Saccharomyces cerevisiae S288C: one gene and its partner. The protein of the gene in region 1 purifies or fractionates together with the protein of each later gene. This does not show direct contact. Each region holds a gene or a part of one and is shown in the gene's direction. Other genes may lie near its edges.

What was found.
Region 2: the proteins of GPM1 (region 1) and HSP10 purify together in Saccharomyces cerevisiae (affinity purification with mass spectrometry; 2 studies listed by BioGRID, with this or other methods). This does not show direct contact.

The regions. Positions count from the first base shown.
Region 1 is NC_001143.9:160,410-168,528, reverse strand, and holds GPM1 (phosphoglycerate mutase GPM1), read left to right. Parts: upstream 1-4,143; coding exon 4,144-4,887; downstream 4,888-8,119. Other genes in the region: DBR1 (RNA lariat debranching enzyme), read left to right, coding at 1-917; MCR1 (cytochrome-b5 reductase), read right to left, coding at 1,077-1,985; NNR2 (NADHX dehydratase), read left to right, coding at 2,599-3,612; SRP102 (Signal recognition particle receptor subunit beta), read right to left, coding at 6,194-6,928; tRNA methyltransferase RSM22, read left to right, coding at 7,187-8,119. UniProt on the Saccharomyces cerevisiae protein: Interconversion of 3- and 2-phosphoglycerate with 2,3-bisphosphoglycerate as the primer of the reaction. Can also catalyze the reaction of EC 5.4.2.4 (synthase), but with a reduced activity.
Region 2 is NC_001147.6:366,881-374,545, reverse strand, and holds HSP10 (Hsp10p), read left to right. Parts: upstream 1-3,701; coding exon 3,702-4,022; downstream 4,023-7,665. Other genes in the region: DDL1 (putative carboxylic ester hydrolase), read left to right, coding at 1-836; protein-arginine N-methyltransferase SFM1, read left to right, coding at 1,107-1,748; MCO10 (Mco10p), read right to left, coding at 2,589-2,861; YOR019W (uncharacterized protein), read right to left, coding at 4,227-6,419; ROD1 (Rod1p), read right to left, coding at 7,664-7,665. UniProt on the Saccharomyces cerevisiae protein: Eukaryotic CPN10 homolog which is essential for mitochondrial protein biogenesis, together with CPN60. Binds to CPN60 in the presence of Mg-ATP and suppresses the ATPase activity of the latter.

The DNA.
Region 1 (8,119 bases):
TAGCAAAGAACATTTTTTATATGGGATACTCTAACGTTATATGGTTTAAAGGCATAAGGATAGGTTCATTGAGCGGGATATGGAAAGAGTGGGATTTCAATAAGCAACGACCAGATTGGAATGACCTAGAAAATAACAATTGGAAAGCTAACATAAGAAATCTGTATCATGTAAGAATTTCTGATATTGCTCCTCTTTTTATGATCAAGCATCGTATTGATATTATGCTGAGCCACGATTGGCCCAATGGAGTCGTTTATCATGGCGATACTAAGCACTTGTTGAAGCTTAAGCCTTTTTTTGAGCAAGATATTAAAGAGGGAAAACTAGGCAGCCCAGTGACCTGGCAACTACTAAGAGATTTGCGGCCTCAATGGTGGTTGAGCGCCCATTTGCATGTCAGGTTCATGGCCTCCATTAAGCATAATAAAAGAAGCCACGAACCGCCTAATAAGTCAACTTCAAAGACAAAAAAAAACAATAATGAAATAGATTTGGATTTATCCAGTGACGAGGACGAAAGGTCTGGTATTATGAATTGCCAAGAAGAGAATGAGTATGATTCCAAATACGGCGAGACACGGTTCTTGGCGTTGGACAAGTGCCTGCCAAGAAGACGTTGGTTAGAAATTCTGGAAATAGAACCGGATACATCGCATGCTTCGTGGAAGGACGAGAATCACCGTATGTTCTGGGATCCTGAATTTATCAATAATTTGGTAATTTGTCAAAAAAATAAGAATCTCCTAAGCAATAAACCGTTTAATAGCGTCAATTGGATAGAACTGTCTCAATCTAATAGAGAGGAAGGAAGGGATATTGATTGGGAAAATTATGCCATTCCTGCATACACCTTAGATATTCAGAAAGATGAAGTACGACAAACTAAAGCATTTATCTCTAAATTCATGACTTGAGAGATATTTCTATTACGAATGCAGACGGAATTAGAGCTTAAAGCCAAGCCTTCTTGAGAGAATTTTTAGTCATACACATGAATATATATATATTTTTTATATATTTACTAATTTGAACGATCCGAAATTAAAAAAAATATCAATTACTTTCCTCCATGCTTAAAATTTGAAAACTTGGTCCTTGGAGTAGCCCAAATTGTTCAAGATACCGATCAATTCACCTTGGTCCTTAGGTGACTTCTTCTCACCTGAGTAAGCGTTCATAAATGGTGGGGGACCGCAGACAAACAAATGTGTGCTTTCCTTTGGACCTGGAACATGCTCCTGAATAAAATCTTTGGAGATGAAACTAATTTCACCATCAAAGTCTTGGTCATCTTGCTTGTCGTCAACAAAGTAAGTAACATTGAACTTGTCAGGATACTTTTCCTTCAACGCATCCAGTTCCTTCCTTAGTAAAATGTCCTGAGGAGTCTTGTTCCCATATAGCAAGTTAACTTTGGTCTTGTCGTTTGGGTTTTCAACTATATGATGAGCTAATTGGTACAGAGGGTTGATACCGGTACCGGCACCTAACAAGGTGATTGACTTGAACTGATTAGGTTGCCACTTCCATTTCATAATAGGACCCTTGAAAGAAACGGTGTCATTTGGTTTAAGACCAAATAAATGTGAGGTCATTTTACCACCTTCATAATGCTTGACGACCAGCTGGAAGTGACCCTTCTGGGAAAGATCACTCACAGGAGTGTATGGTCTCACCACATTGGATCCCTTTGGTGTGACAAATTTAGCAAACAGAGCAGATGCTAGGACCAACCCCATTTCTGAGTCTTCGGTAGGCAGCTTAAAAGTAAACCTTCTGGTGTCGTGGGATTCCTCCTCTATTTTAGATATTGGCAAGTCGATCCATTTGTCATCACCTTTGAACACTTTATTAGATTCATTGAAGACAAAGGAATGTTGGTTACGGTTTGCAAAATAGAATGCGGTAGCAGCTGCTATAGCAACTGTACCTAGAGCAATCGGTAATGCTTTTGAGTGAGATCTGGATAATCTGGAAAACATGTTTTTGACTTGGAATATTATTTTAACCTATATACGTTATACTATTGTTAGTTTGGCTGCTTCAAAACGTTAGTATTGAGGGAAAAGGTAAGAGTACTTAACACAAGCGGGCATTGCGAGCAAACTGCATTCTTATATACGTACCTCTCTCGACAAGACACCAATCAAGGGCCCTTATTTCTCTTCTTTTTTCAAACGGAGAAACACTCCGAGCGATAGTTCCTACGCTTGTTTGGTCTTAGACCTTTGAAGTTTGAATTGTCAGGGGTAACAAGTTCCTTATACGATATAGGCGTCATAATGAGGGGGATAGTTTAGCATTGCGTGGAGGGATACTGAAGGTCATCGCAAATGAACCTAATTCATTCACCTATTGTTACCAGCTTGCATACTAGAAATGGACTCTTATGATCGTCAAAAGGAGCACACACCCACACACGACTCCTTTGCGCTGTAAAGGGCAGAATAGGGAGTGATGTGATGTGATGCGATGTGATGGGTCTTGCAACGTGATCTAGTAGATATATATGTAAAGGTGTAAATAGGTATATAGGCGTCGGTGAAATTTTATTAGCAACACCAGTTCAATACGATCACTACCGTATCACTGGAAATGTTAGCAGAATTGTCTCATAGAGAATTGATAAAGTTGGCGCAGAAAAGATGTATACCACCTTTATTGCCAAAGTTTCATAAGGGACAGTCTGGTGGGAGAGTTTGCATTATTGGAGGATGCGAAGATTATACAGGGGCACCGTATTTCAGCGCCAATGCTACAGCCTTGATGGGCTGTGATTTGACACATGTCATCTGCGAATACAACGCTGGTACGGTCATTAAATCGTACACCCCAAACCTAATGGTTCATCCATACCTTCGTATGAGTAACACCAAATTAGACGTTGATATGGACGAACAAAGGAAGAAAATCAATTCCTTATTGGATAGAATCCACGTTGTGGTAATTGGACCCGGCTTGGGTAGGGACCCCCTAATGTTAAAATCCATTAAGGATATCATAAGATATATACTTGAAAAACATGAGGGCAAGATCCCGTTAGTAATTGATGCTGATGGACTGTTCTTAGTAACTCAAGATAGCGAAGTCAAAGAAATGCTGAAAAGCTACCCCAAAGGTAGAGTGATCTTGACGCCCAATGTGGTAGAATTCAAAAGACTATGTGATGCCATAGGCAAGAAGGGAGACTCTCACTCCGAGATGGGCAGCTTGATCGCCCAGGAATTGAATTGTATTGTGGTGGAGAAAGGTCAGTCAGATAAGATATTCTCACCCGATAGTGAAAAAGACATGTTGACGAACAGCGAAGAGGGCAGCAACAAGAGGGTAGGAGGCCAAGGTGATACTTTGACAGGAGCTATATCATGCATGCTTGCATTTAGTCGTGCAATGTATGACTTTAAGATTTGTGAGCAGGAAGAAAAGGGAGAATCTTCTAACGATAAACCCTTGAAAAACTGGGTAGACTACGCTATGTTGAGTTGCTACGCAGGCTGCACAATTACACGAGAATGCTCCCGCCTAGGATTTAAGGCTAAGGGACGTGCAATGCAGACGACAGATCTAAATGACCGTGTCGGTGAAGTGTTCGCCAAACTTTTCGGTTAACACATGCAGTGATGCACGCGCGATGGTGCTAAGTTACATATATATATATATATATATATATATATATATATAGCCATAGTGATGTCTAAGTAACCTTTATGGTATATTTCTTAATGTGGAAAGATACTAGCGCGCGCACCCACACACAAGCTTCGTCTTTTCTTGAAGAAAAGAGGAAGCTCGCTAAATGGGATTCCACTTTCCGTTCCCTGCCAGCTGATGGAAAAAGGTTAGTGGAACGATGAAGAATAAAAAGAGAGATCCACTGAGGTGAAATTTCAGCTGACAGCGAGTTTCATGATCGTGATGAACAATGGTAACGAGTTGTGGCTGTTGCCAGGGAGGGTGGTTCTCAACTTTTAATGTATGGCCAAATCGCTACTTGGGTTTGTTATATAACAAAGAAGAAATAATGAACTGATTCTCTTCCTCCTTCTTGTCCTTTCTTAATTCTGTTGTAATTACCTTCCTTTGTAATTTTTTTTGTAATTATTCTTCTTAATAATCCAAACAAACACACATATTACAATAATGCCAAAGTTAGTTTTAGTTAGACACGGTCAATCCGAATGGAACGAAAAGAACTTATTCACCGGTTGGGTTGATGTTAAATTGTCTGCCAAGGGTCAACAAGAAGCCGCTAGAGCCGGTGAATTGTTGAAGGAAAAGAAGGTCTACCCAGACGTCTTGTACACTTCCAAGTTGTCCAGAGCTATCCAAACTGCTAACATTGCTTTGGAAAAGGCTGACAGATTATGGATTCCAGTCAACAGATCCTGGAGATTGAACGAAAGACATTACGGTGACTTACAAGGTAAGGACAAGGCTGAAACTTTGAAGAAGTTCGGTGAAGAAAAATTCAACACCTACAGAAGATCCTTCGATGTTCCACCTCCCCCAATCGACGCTTCTTCTCCATTCTCTCAAAAGGGTGATGAAAGATACAAGTACGTTGACCCAAATGTCTTGCCAGAAACTGAATCTTTGGCTTTGGTCATTGACAGATTGTTGCCATACTGGCAAGATGTCATTGCCAAGGACTTGTTGAGTGGTAAGACCGTCATGATCGCCGCTCACGGTAACTCCTTGAGAGGTTTGGTTAAGCACTTGGAAGGTATCTCTGATGCTGACATTGCTAAGTTGAACATCCCAACTGGTATTCCATTGGTCTTCGAATTGGACGAAAACTTGAAGCCATCTAAGCCATCTTACTACTTGGACCCAGAAGCTGCCGCTGCTGGTGCCGCTGCTGTTGCCAACCAAGGTAAGAAATAAGTCTGAAGAATGAATGATTTGATGATTTCTTTTTCCCTCCATTTTTCTTACTGAATATATCAATGATATAGACTTGTATAGTTTATTATTTCAAATTAAGTAGCTATATATAGTCAAGATAACGTTTGTTTGACACGATTACATTATTCGTCGACATCTTTTTTCAGCCTGTCGTGGTAGCAATTTGAGGAGTATTATTAATTGAATAGGTTCATTTTGCGCTCGCATAAACAGTTTTCGTCAGGGACAGTATGTTGGAATGAGTGGTAATTAATGGTGACATGACATGTTATAGCAATAACCTTGATGTTTACATCGTAGTTTAATGTACACCCCGCGAATTCGTTCAAGTAGGAGTGCACCAATTGCAAAGGGAAAAGCTGAATGGGCAGTTCGAATAGTACTTAAGATTAGTTAAAAGTCCATGATTGAACATTGATGTGGTAGTTACATGCATGATGAATATGCGCCATGAGAGGTTGGTGAATTTTGAGATAATTGTTGGGATTCCAATGTTGATAAAGGCTGTTATATTATGTATACAGAATATACTGGAAGTGTCTCCTCGAGGATATAGGCATCCCCAAAAAGGAATCGATATTTCTACATAATAATATCACGATTGTTCCTCATTCCATTTCATATGTTTCATTATCCTATTACATTATTGATCCTTGTATTTCAGCTTTCTCTAACTTCGATGACAGTTTCTCATACCTTATGTCATCATGTCCACATTTGACACCATATAAGATAATATACTGGTAGTATAACCACTAGTTGATGACGATAGTTGATTTTTATTCCAACACGCGGACATATTAAATGTACGGTGGCTAGCAGGCCTCCTATTCACCATATTTAATCTTCATTAGTTGTACCTTTGACCATTGACAATCAACACAATAATTATGAACAAAATTTCCTGGTACAATGATTATGGTAAAGAAGAAAAAAAACGCTGCTTGCTATAACCAAATCAGAAAATATAATACTATAATAAAAATACATCAAACTACTTATCTTCAATTATTTTCCCGCATAATTAGATCATATAACTGCTGGAACATCAAACAAATATTAGCTCGCGTGGCGTAATGGCAACGCGTCTGACTTCTAATCAGAAGATTATGGGTTCGACCCCCATCGTGAGTGTTTTTTACACCAGCAGTCAAAAAGAGTTACTTTTGATATTGCATGTGTCGATGATGCAACTATGTCTTTCTCTGCGTACGGAATCTAGAGCTATGTTAAATGCTTGTTTTTAAACTATCTATCGTTCATCTAGTTATAAATTATAATTATATTACAGTTTTTCATCTATCCATTCGCGCCATTGGGAAATTTTTCTTTTATTAATACTGCCCTCAAAAGCAACTACAGATGCTTCCAAATTTGCAAATTTGAACCCGTCGGTAGACTGTAAAACGTCTAGTGTATTCTCTGCATAATCTTCTTCGTTAATTTTTCTTTCAACCTCGTTCAACGATTTTTTCCTTCTTTCAATAACCTTTTGAATTTCGCTTTCTAAAGCATCCTTGATCTTTGATGGTGGTCTTGCAGTGAACAATTCGCTTTTATTGCATGCAATTAAGATATCAATACCATTTTCGCAACTAGATTCAGTAATTGATAATATGTCTACCAAGAACTCAGCTGTTGTTGTTAATTTCTTAGGATCAACTGTTGAGTCTACCATAAATATCAACCCTTTAACAAATTTGGCTCTTGTTTTCAAATAATCTGAGAGTTTATAACGCAACTTGACATGGCCTGGGAAGTCCACTAACGTGACGCCGGAACCATCGTAATCCGCTGCTGATAACGGTTCTTGAGAAACAACAGTTGGTCTTACTGAATCTGTGGTTAGCAGCGTAAGCAAGCTCGTTTTTCCAGAATTTTGAGGACCTGCAATGATAATAGATGGTTGATAACTTTTTTGCTTGATCCCTGTCTTGGAGGATGCCTTTTGCACTGCTATTAGCGCTATGGTTGTCCCTATCACCAATAAACAGGCAATAATAAGTGTATTACTAAGCATTCTGATCCCGTGTGCTATTATGCTAATAAACAGCAGTGGTAAAGTAATAATTAATTGATCAATACAGACACTTAAAGCCTAACTATTTCTTTTCTTCTCATCTTTTTCAAGTTTAATGATGGTTCATATTTGTTTTCCATATCTCTTATTTTTTTCCGCCACTAGATGAAAAAAGTGAATGGTGAAAAATTAAGAACAGTATTGCAGCAAAACCTCTGACACTTTAGGACATAAGGTGGCCCGTCTAGTTTAGGTAAAATGATGAAAAGATGCTTCAGTATCCTACCACAAAATGTCCGGTTCAGCTCAAAGTTCACAAGTTTAAACTTACCAAAGTTAGATTTGGCGGATTTTATAGACTCAAATAAAAGAGGAATCAATGTTCTTCCGTCGTACAGAGATGAAACCGCTAGCACCACTCAAGCAACTAATTCTAAAGAGCTCAGATTACTTTCCAAAACACTTCAGGGCCAGTCGTACCGGGACCAATTAGAGTTGAATCCTGATGTAAGCAAAGCAATCAACAATAATATTATGGCTGTACATATTCCCAATAATCTTAGAAGGGTTGCTACAAATTATTACAAAGAGATTCAGGAACCAAATTCATTACATCGTCCCTGTAGAACCAAAATGGAAGTGGATGCACATATAGCGTCCATTTTTTTACAAAATTATGGTTCTATTTTCCAAAGTCTGAAAGAATTACAAAAAAGGGTAGGTCCTGATAATTTTAAACCTCAAAGAATCCTTGATGTTGGATATGGCCCAGCGACTGGTATAGTTGCCTTGAATGATATTTTAGGCCCAAATTATAGACCTGATCTAAAAGATGCCGTTATTTTAGGGAATGCGGAGATGCAAGAAAGAGCCAAAATCATTTTGAGCAGACAACTTAACGAGGTGGTCGATACTGTAGAAGAAAATGTGTCTACAGAGAAAGAGCAGGAAACAGATAGACGGAACAAAAACTTTCAAGAGGATGAACATATTGGAGAAGTGATGACAAAAAAGATAAACATTATGACTAACTTGCGGTCTTCTATTCCCGCATCTAAGGAATATGACCTCATAATATTAACGCATCAACTTCTTCATGACGGGAATCAATTTCCAATTCAGGTGGATGAAAATATTGAGCACTACTTAAATATTCTAGCGCCTGGAGGCCACATTGTTATTATTGAACGA
Region 2 (7,665 bases), on another chromosome or scaffold:
TCACAGTAAATGGAGTGTTACCCTTGAGGAAGCTACTGGCTGACGGTCTACTAGATATTTTGTTGTATGTCGAACCATACTACCAAGATATGATTCTACAACAAGTAACCTCTCAATTGAACAAAACATATCGGATTTTTAAAGAATTTAATCCAGAGTTTGATGGGAAAGTCCATTTAGTGGGCCATTCGTTGGGTAGTATGATATTATTTGATATTCTATCCAAACAAAAAAAATATGAATTAGAATTTCAAGTAGACAACCTGTTCTTTATTGGCTCACCAATTGGATTGTTAAAGTTAATTCAAAGAACAAAAATTGGTGACCGTCCCGAATTTCCCAATGACTTGGAGAGAAAATTAACCGTACAGAGACCGCAATGTAAGGACATTTATAATGTTTACCACGTCTGTGATCCCATTTCTTATAGGATGGAACCTCTTGTTAGTAAAGAAATGGCTCATTACGAACAAACTTATTTACCACATTGTAGTGAAGCTTATGGACTAACTTCTAAAGTTTTGGAATTTGGCGAAAACATATGGAAAGATTTGCCAGGTACTGATGAAAATAATTTGCAGTCCAAAAAAACTTCTCCAGAAAAAAAAGAGGTCAAGTTATCAGAAAATCTTACGAGAATGCTTACAGGTTTGAATTACACCGGACGTCTAGATTATGCTATGTCTCCAAGTCTGCTAGAAGTGGATTTTATATCAGCTATAAAATCACATGTTTCTTATTTCGAAGAACCGGATATTGCAGCGTTTATCCTAAAAGAAATTTTAAGTAAACATGAAAATGCATCAGAAATATATGTAAAAAGAAAGACTGGTTGATCAGTAAACGCAAGGCACAAGTTTTTTTTAACTTTTTTCTTTACTGTCTATTATAGTTCCACTGTGTAAGGTTGTATTCTTTCCGTACTTCAACTTGCGGGTAACAGGATTGACACCTTTTCAATTTTTTCCGTTATTTTGGATTAGAAATTTTCGGTAAGCTCATCGAGTATTGTAAAAGAGCAATGCCCTTTGCTTATTAGATGTTGAGGGGCATATCTATTGTTAATATAGATTGATACAGCTGTGGAGATTATTTCTAGATATACGATGAAGTACATTATTGAGCATATGGAGGAAGGGTTTAGTGAATGGGTCATTTTAGAGTATAGCCAAATCCTGAGAGAAGTAGGAGCTGAAAACTTGATTTTATCATCGTTACCAGAGAGTACCACGGAAAAGGACATCCCTCAAAGGCTACTAAAACTTGGTTTAAGATGGACTACAAAGGATTTGAAGGGCATTAACGAAGATTTCAAGGATTTGGAACTGTTAAAAGATGGCAGAGTCTGTCTATTGGACCCTAGGGCTACAATCGATTTACAGCCGGAGGATGCTACGAAATTCGACTATTTCGTATTTGGTGGCATATTGGGTGATCATCCTCCAAGAGATCGTACCAAAGAACTAAAGACTGCCTATCCGAATCTTTTAATTAGCAGAAGACTAGGTGATAAACAAATGACTACGGATACTGCCATAAGAACAACACAGTTGATTATCAAAGACAGGATTGCATTTGAAGACATCAAGTTCATTGACTACCCTGAATTTAGGTTCAATAAAAATGAGGCCACGGAAATGCCATTTAGATACGTTTTAGATAAAGAAGGTAAACCTATTTTGCCTGAAGGGATGTTGGATTTGATCAAGAAGGATTCTGCTCAAAGTTTGGACGATCTGTTGATGTAGATGAGAACAGTCCTTTAAGTAACATTCTATGGTTGTAATAAGTGATGATGCTTCCTTGTCAAAGAGTTAGTTGAAAAGTTTAGGGTCGTAGCATTAATTATATTGTATATAGTTCAAAAACGACATTCAATGAAAAAATCAAGTTTATTAGCCAATGAATATTTCGTATTTTGCGTTAGTAGCGCTACCAAGACTTCTGAAAAGTGCATGCAAGAAAAATAAAAACAAGGAACCGTTTACTTTTATGATATCATCATTGTCAGGCCAAATAGGATAAAATTGATTGGTTGTATTATGCTTTTTAATTGAAAAAAAAAGTAGAAACTTTTATTATTTTATTTAAATTAATTTCTTTACATTACTTGCATCTAAAACCAAACGAGCTGGTGACTTCAAGCACTGCACTAGTTGCCATGGCTTTGCTAATTCAGACGACCCCCTTGAGGTGAAAAAATAGTCTCAGTAATGAAACAATCATAGGCAATTAGTTCGATTTTTTATAATTATCTTCCAGCCTTTCAAATATTGAAAGGCCATCAACTATCACTTACACCTGAGTGTTGTCATTGATCCGTAAAGTAAAAAGAGGCAAGTTTTGTGCATATTCGTATCATGCACAATGGCCTAAGGCAAGTATTTTCAGTGTTTTTTTTTTTTCATTGCCGTTTTGCTATTCAGAATATATTGAATTATATGTATAATGCATACTTAATAGAAAGAAGGACGCTAATTTTCGTTATAGAACAGTAGTTTCAAAAAGTGCTTCAAGTTTATAGAAATCAGTGCATCCCTTCACTGAACGATGAAGAACACCACCATTTCAGAAATTTTTATACATAATCAGTTGGCTTTCGTATCCTGCCTCGTATCTTTCTCTAAATCATTTAAAAATCCTTCAATACTCTTTACGACATCATCGTCCTTTCCCATAGCATCTGAGTTTGAACTTTCACCGCTTTTTTGTTGGCTCAAGGCAGAACTATTCTTGCCTTCATTTTTGGTTTTTGGTTTCGTGGTAAAGTAAGATGCCACTGCAGCAGTAGCGATAAACGTAGATATAGCCAATACGTGAGGTTGAACCGTCTTCCCAAATACTTTGTATGCAGCACCCATTGAGATAGCTATATTTATTTTTGTATATCTTATGTTTAGAAACAGTAGCGACCTTTCTTACTTGTTCCTTCAAAACTTGACTTAGATAACTATTTACCCTTAAACCGTTAGCTCTGTATTATGGACTGTGAAATTACACCTCGTTACCCGAAGTTCTATTATATTTTCAATCCATACTCCTATGATCTCTTCATTGGGAAAAAAAGGTCCACTTTCTCCTGGATTGCTCGAAGGCTTTCCGTAAAGAAAATACCTTTTATTTTTCTTTGCTTTCTTTCTCCATTAAATAGTAAACGCCTCTTTCTGAGGCAGCTGGCTAAAAAAATGTAACAAGGAATTTTATTTTATTACGGTTCAGCAAAGGCCGTAACGATAGTTGTATTATTTTCGTTCATATGTAGCAGCGATGGTAGCATTTTTTATTGTATAAATTGTGGCTTGCGTCGATTATCTTATTATGCCACTCATAATAAAAAGTTACTCTCAAAATGTCAATATTCAATAATGCATGTCTGTCTTTTTAATTTAGTACATACGTAGGATTAGGTATTGGAAGCAATCATAATGAGTTCTAAAGTTGTTATTTCTCACTTATTGCACCTCTCGAAGTTCTCTCATTAGCCGCCCAATTCTCATTCGTGTGAAGGTCATTAACGGGGTAATGCCCGTCATCAATGATAGAAATTTCTAGAATCTTGAAGGAATGGGAAAAAGAAGCTTGATTATGTATAAAATTAGTCAAAACGCTTATACAGTACAAACTTATTATGTGCTAGGTTTAAAATAATTTCTGATAGAAGCCATTGATCGAAAATATATTGAATCTACAGAAAAAAAAGAATGTCCACCCTTTTGAAGTCTGCTAAATCTATCGTTCCATTGATGGACCGTGTCCTTGTCCAAAGAATCAAGGCACAAGCAAAGACAGCATCCGGGTTGTATTTACCTGAAAAGAACGTGGAGAAGTTAAACCAAGCTGAAGTTGTTGCCGTAGGCCCGGGCTTTACTGATGCTAATGGTAATAAGGTTGTTCCTCAAGTTAAAGTTGGTGACCAAGTTTTGATTCCACAGTTTGGTGGTTCTACCATTAAATTGGGTAACGACGATGAAGTTATTCTTTTCAGGGACGCTGAAATCCTGGCTAAGATTGCCAAGGACTAAGAATGATGTCTTCTTCAACAGAGATTTTATATACATACTCTATATGTATGTACCTGTAAATAGGCCATTATGTATGACAGGAAAAAAAAATAATTGAACTCAAATTTCTTCTGCTATTCAGTTGCTGCCCCCAATTGTCTGCTAATAAAATTGATCTATTCATCAATAGGAATTTTAGGGACACTATGTGTACAAACTATCCGCTCATATTTTGCCGAATAAGAACAATGATTTCTTCTTTTTTTTCTTCTTCTTTTTCTTGTCGTTACGATCATCACTTTCAAAAACATCGCCACTGCTACTATTCCTTCTACTGGATGATTTATTTCCAGAGGAACTTCCACTTTTAAACACCTTAAAAATCCCAACTCCACCCCCAGTGAAGGTGTTCACAGTACTAAAACTAGACGAGCTTTTCTTTGACCCTGCACTACTTGAGGAGTCATTAGTTTTGACTTTTCTTAACGCACCGGCACTTTTAACTTTCCTCAAAGGAATGCTATTATCAACACTACTGCTTTTATCAGATGGATCAAAGGAATTTTCTTTGTCGAAGGAAATACTGTGCCTTATATCAGGCAGATTTCTGGCTTTGCCAAGGGCGGCTCTTCCATCTTTGTGTTTTACAGAGGTTGCAAACTTGATTTGGGACGTAGGCGAGCTACTGAGTTTAATAGTTGTTGTGGTATTTTGTTCCTCTGAGGAAGAATATGGTATTAAAGATTTTCTAAACTTTGTGTTTTTCGACCCATTGCCTATCAAAGCATTCTTAAAGCTGGAAATTTGGTCACCGTGACTGGACTGCGATACATTTTTACCAGGCAACGTCTCTATCGCTAAAGAAGACTTCAATGACTCTCTAATTATGATATCAATTTTCTTCAACAAAAGTTTTTCCTTAGTACATTCTCTATCTTTCTCATCGTCTTGTAATTTTTCTATATCACCCGTGATCTTCCTTCTTGAATGCTGGGCGAGACCGGTCAATTTTCTTGGAATGGAATCATTAGAGGTGTTGAACTGCTTTTTGATGTAGCCTTGCCTTTTGAAATCTTCGGCGTACGAATCTACGGAAATATGTGAAGAAATATCTGATATTGTATTTTTTTTGAACATTGAACTGCTCATGCTCTCAACGTCAGTGTGTTCGTGCTTCATATGATTTTTTGAGACATAATGTTCATTTACTTCTCTTTGTAGATTCAGTTCGAACGAATACATTCGTTTCGAGGGAACAACAAATGTGGGAATCGGATAACTAACAGGAAAGACATCTGTCAGCTTTTTGGATTTATATGTAATAAGATTCTCATTTCGCTCGTGCTTTAAAGTAGCAAGAACTAAGAAATCTGGAGTATGGACATTAATGACATCTACCAGACTTTTTTTAATTTTGCCTACAATTATTTCTAAAGTAATTTTGACGGATATTTTGACCACTTTTACTAGCTGTAAAATATAATCAAAAATGTCGTTTAATTTTTGATCTATTACTTCTTTTTGATATCCCGGTGCCCATTCTGTATCATCTTTTGCAGTTTTTTTCCTGTTAGAAATCATTTTTGGCAGTGTAGTTATGACAACAATGTGATCAAGATTTCGTGCAAACTTGTAGACTGTCCAGTCTAGGGCAACCCACGTATGTTTTTTTCCGTTAATGTGACAAACTATTGTCTTAGGGTTATTGGGATATCCGACCTTTTGTTGAAGTATTTTATGCTTTCTTTTTTGTTCTTTTGTACATGGTGCACTATCATCTCCTCTATATAACGGTTTAATACGCTCTTCAGAGAAGATAAGTTCTGGGTAAGTAAACCATTTTTTTTTGTCATTCAGCCTTTCATTTATTTGTAGTTTTCTTTGGCGCCATAACTTTATCCAGTTCTTTTCAAACCTGTTTATCATCAACGTTTCGTTGACAATTACTGGCGTGCTTGGATAGTCTCTCCTCACTATTTTTCCATTCTTGGATACCAAGAAATATTTTTTGATGTCAGAATTCTTTTCCAACAACTTTGAGGATCTCATTGGAAAACTACTGGATTCAGATTTGTTCTCTTTTCTAGTATTCAGAAAAGGTGATGATTGGAATGTATCTCTCAAATAATATTGCAAATTTGGCGAAAAAGAGTCTGTTTCATCGTCATAGCACTCTTCCATCGTGTAATAGTTGGGAACAGGTACACCTTTGAATCCTTCCCTGCTGTCGTCTATAGAAGAATAACCAGCGGTGGAAGGCACTGTGTCAAAGGCAACAGATGGTTGGAAACTGCCTTTCTTTTTGGCCCGTTTTTTAAGGTTTTGTTCATTTCTCTCTTCGAATTGTTGTCCTGGAACATCGAATGTGAGGCTTCTGTAGCATTTTTGCAAGTCATTTTGTGGGCAAACAGAAATCATAATAATTTAAGGTTGACTTGCCAAAAGGGTGCGTGATCTATAGCAAGTTGAATATTAAAAGCCTTTTTAATGAGGAGTCCTTATTTTAATACGTGTTGGATTCGATGTCCTTTCTTTCTGGTCCTATGCATTAGTGTGGATGGTAACGAGACATGAACCCAGAAGGATATATATGTATCTATCTGCAAATCATATTGCTACTAATAATGGTAGATTGCCATTCACAAAAAAGCCGCCCCTCATAAAACTCAGCCGCGCAAGCTTTGAAAAGGGGCGAGCGGCTGAAACAGAACGGTCTTCTAGAAGGCTGATTCAGCAGTAATTAAGACAAAAGCAGTACTACCAGCAAGAACATAGGAGGTGATTGAGTTATTAATTGAGGTACATCTGAATTGCAAGAACTCTAAATATTTTCTTTTGCGATGAAAAACTGATGCTTGTGTGATTAACATATAACGTAATTCATTGAGAGAAAAGAGCAGCTGTGCTCGAGATCAATGAGTTGACTATAAAAATAGCAATTTCCGTAGGATCGCAAAGTTGGCTAACCGTATAAAATGGGAGGATATATACGAATGATGTCTGTGGGATCTTTAACATTTAATTAGAAAATTTTGTAGTGCCAATAATTGTTGAGGAAGAAGTGCCAAGTAAAGAAAAACAGATCTTCTGAAGCTCATTGTATTCTCATTATATTCTCTCAAAAATACGTTCGTATAACTGATTAATCCTGTTTTTCTAATCACTATTTTAATGTTTCAATTGAGGGATTTTGCCTTCATACAATTGTTGAGAGAAATTTTCCAACAAGTATGGGAAATATGAGCAATTCTTATCTTTTAAAAACAAGAACTGGTCCGATATTATTCACCTCAAACATATTGGACGAGATCATTTTTAAAACGTTAGGGGTGGGGAGGATATCAATAAGTTTTCATAATTATGTTAACCTTCAAGCCATAAAACCGAGTAAGACCACTTAACAAAATCTATGAGAAGCCTTGCGGCAGAATCTGACAACTTCAGTGAAATTTTTTTGTGATTATAGAAGCATAAACTACAACGCCGAATTGTTTTACTTTATAGCAATTATGAGGTAGTATTATAACATTATATTATCATTTTTCAAGTGGTATGAGGTATGAAAGTACTCTATCAAAGTATATATGCTTAACTGTACAAACGTGTATGAAGTATTGCTCATATCTTTTTGTCGAAATTTCGAAGACAAAAAATAAAGCAGTCT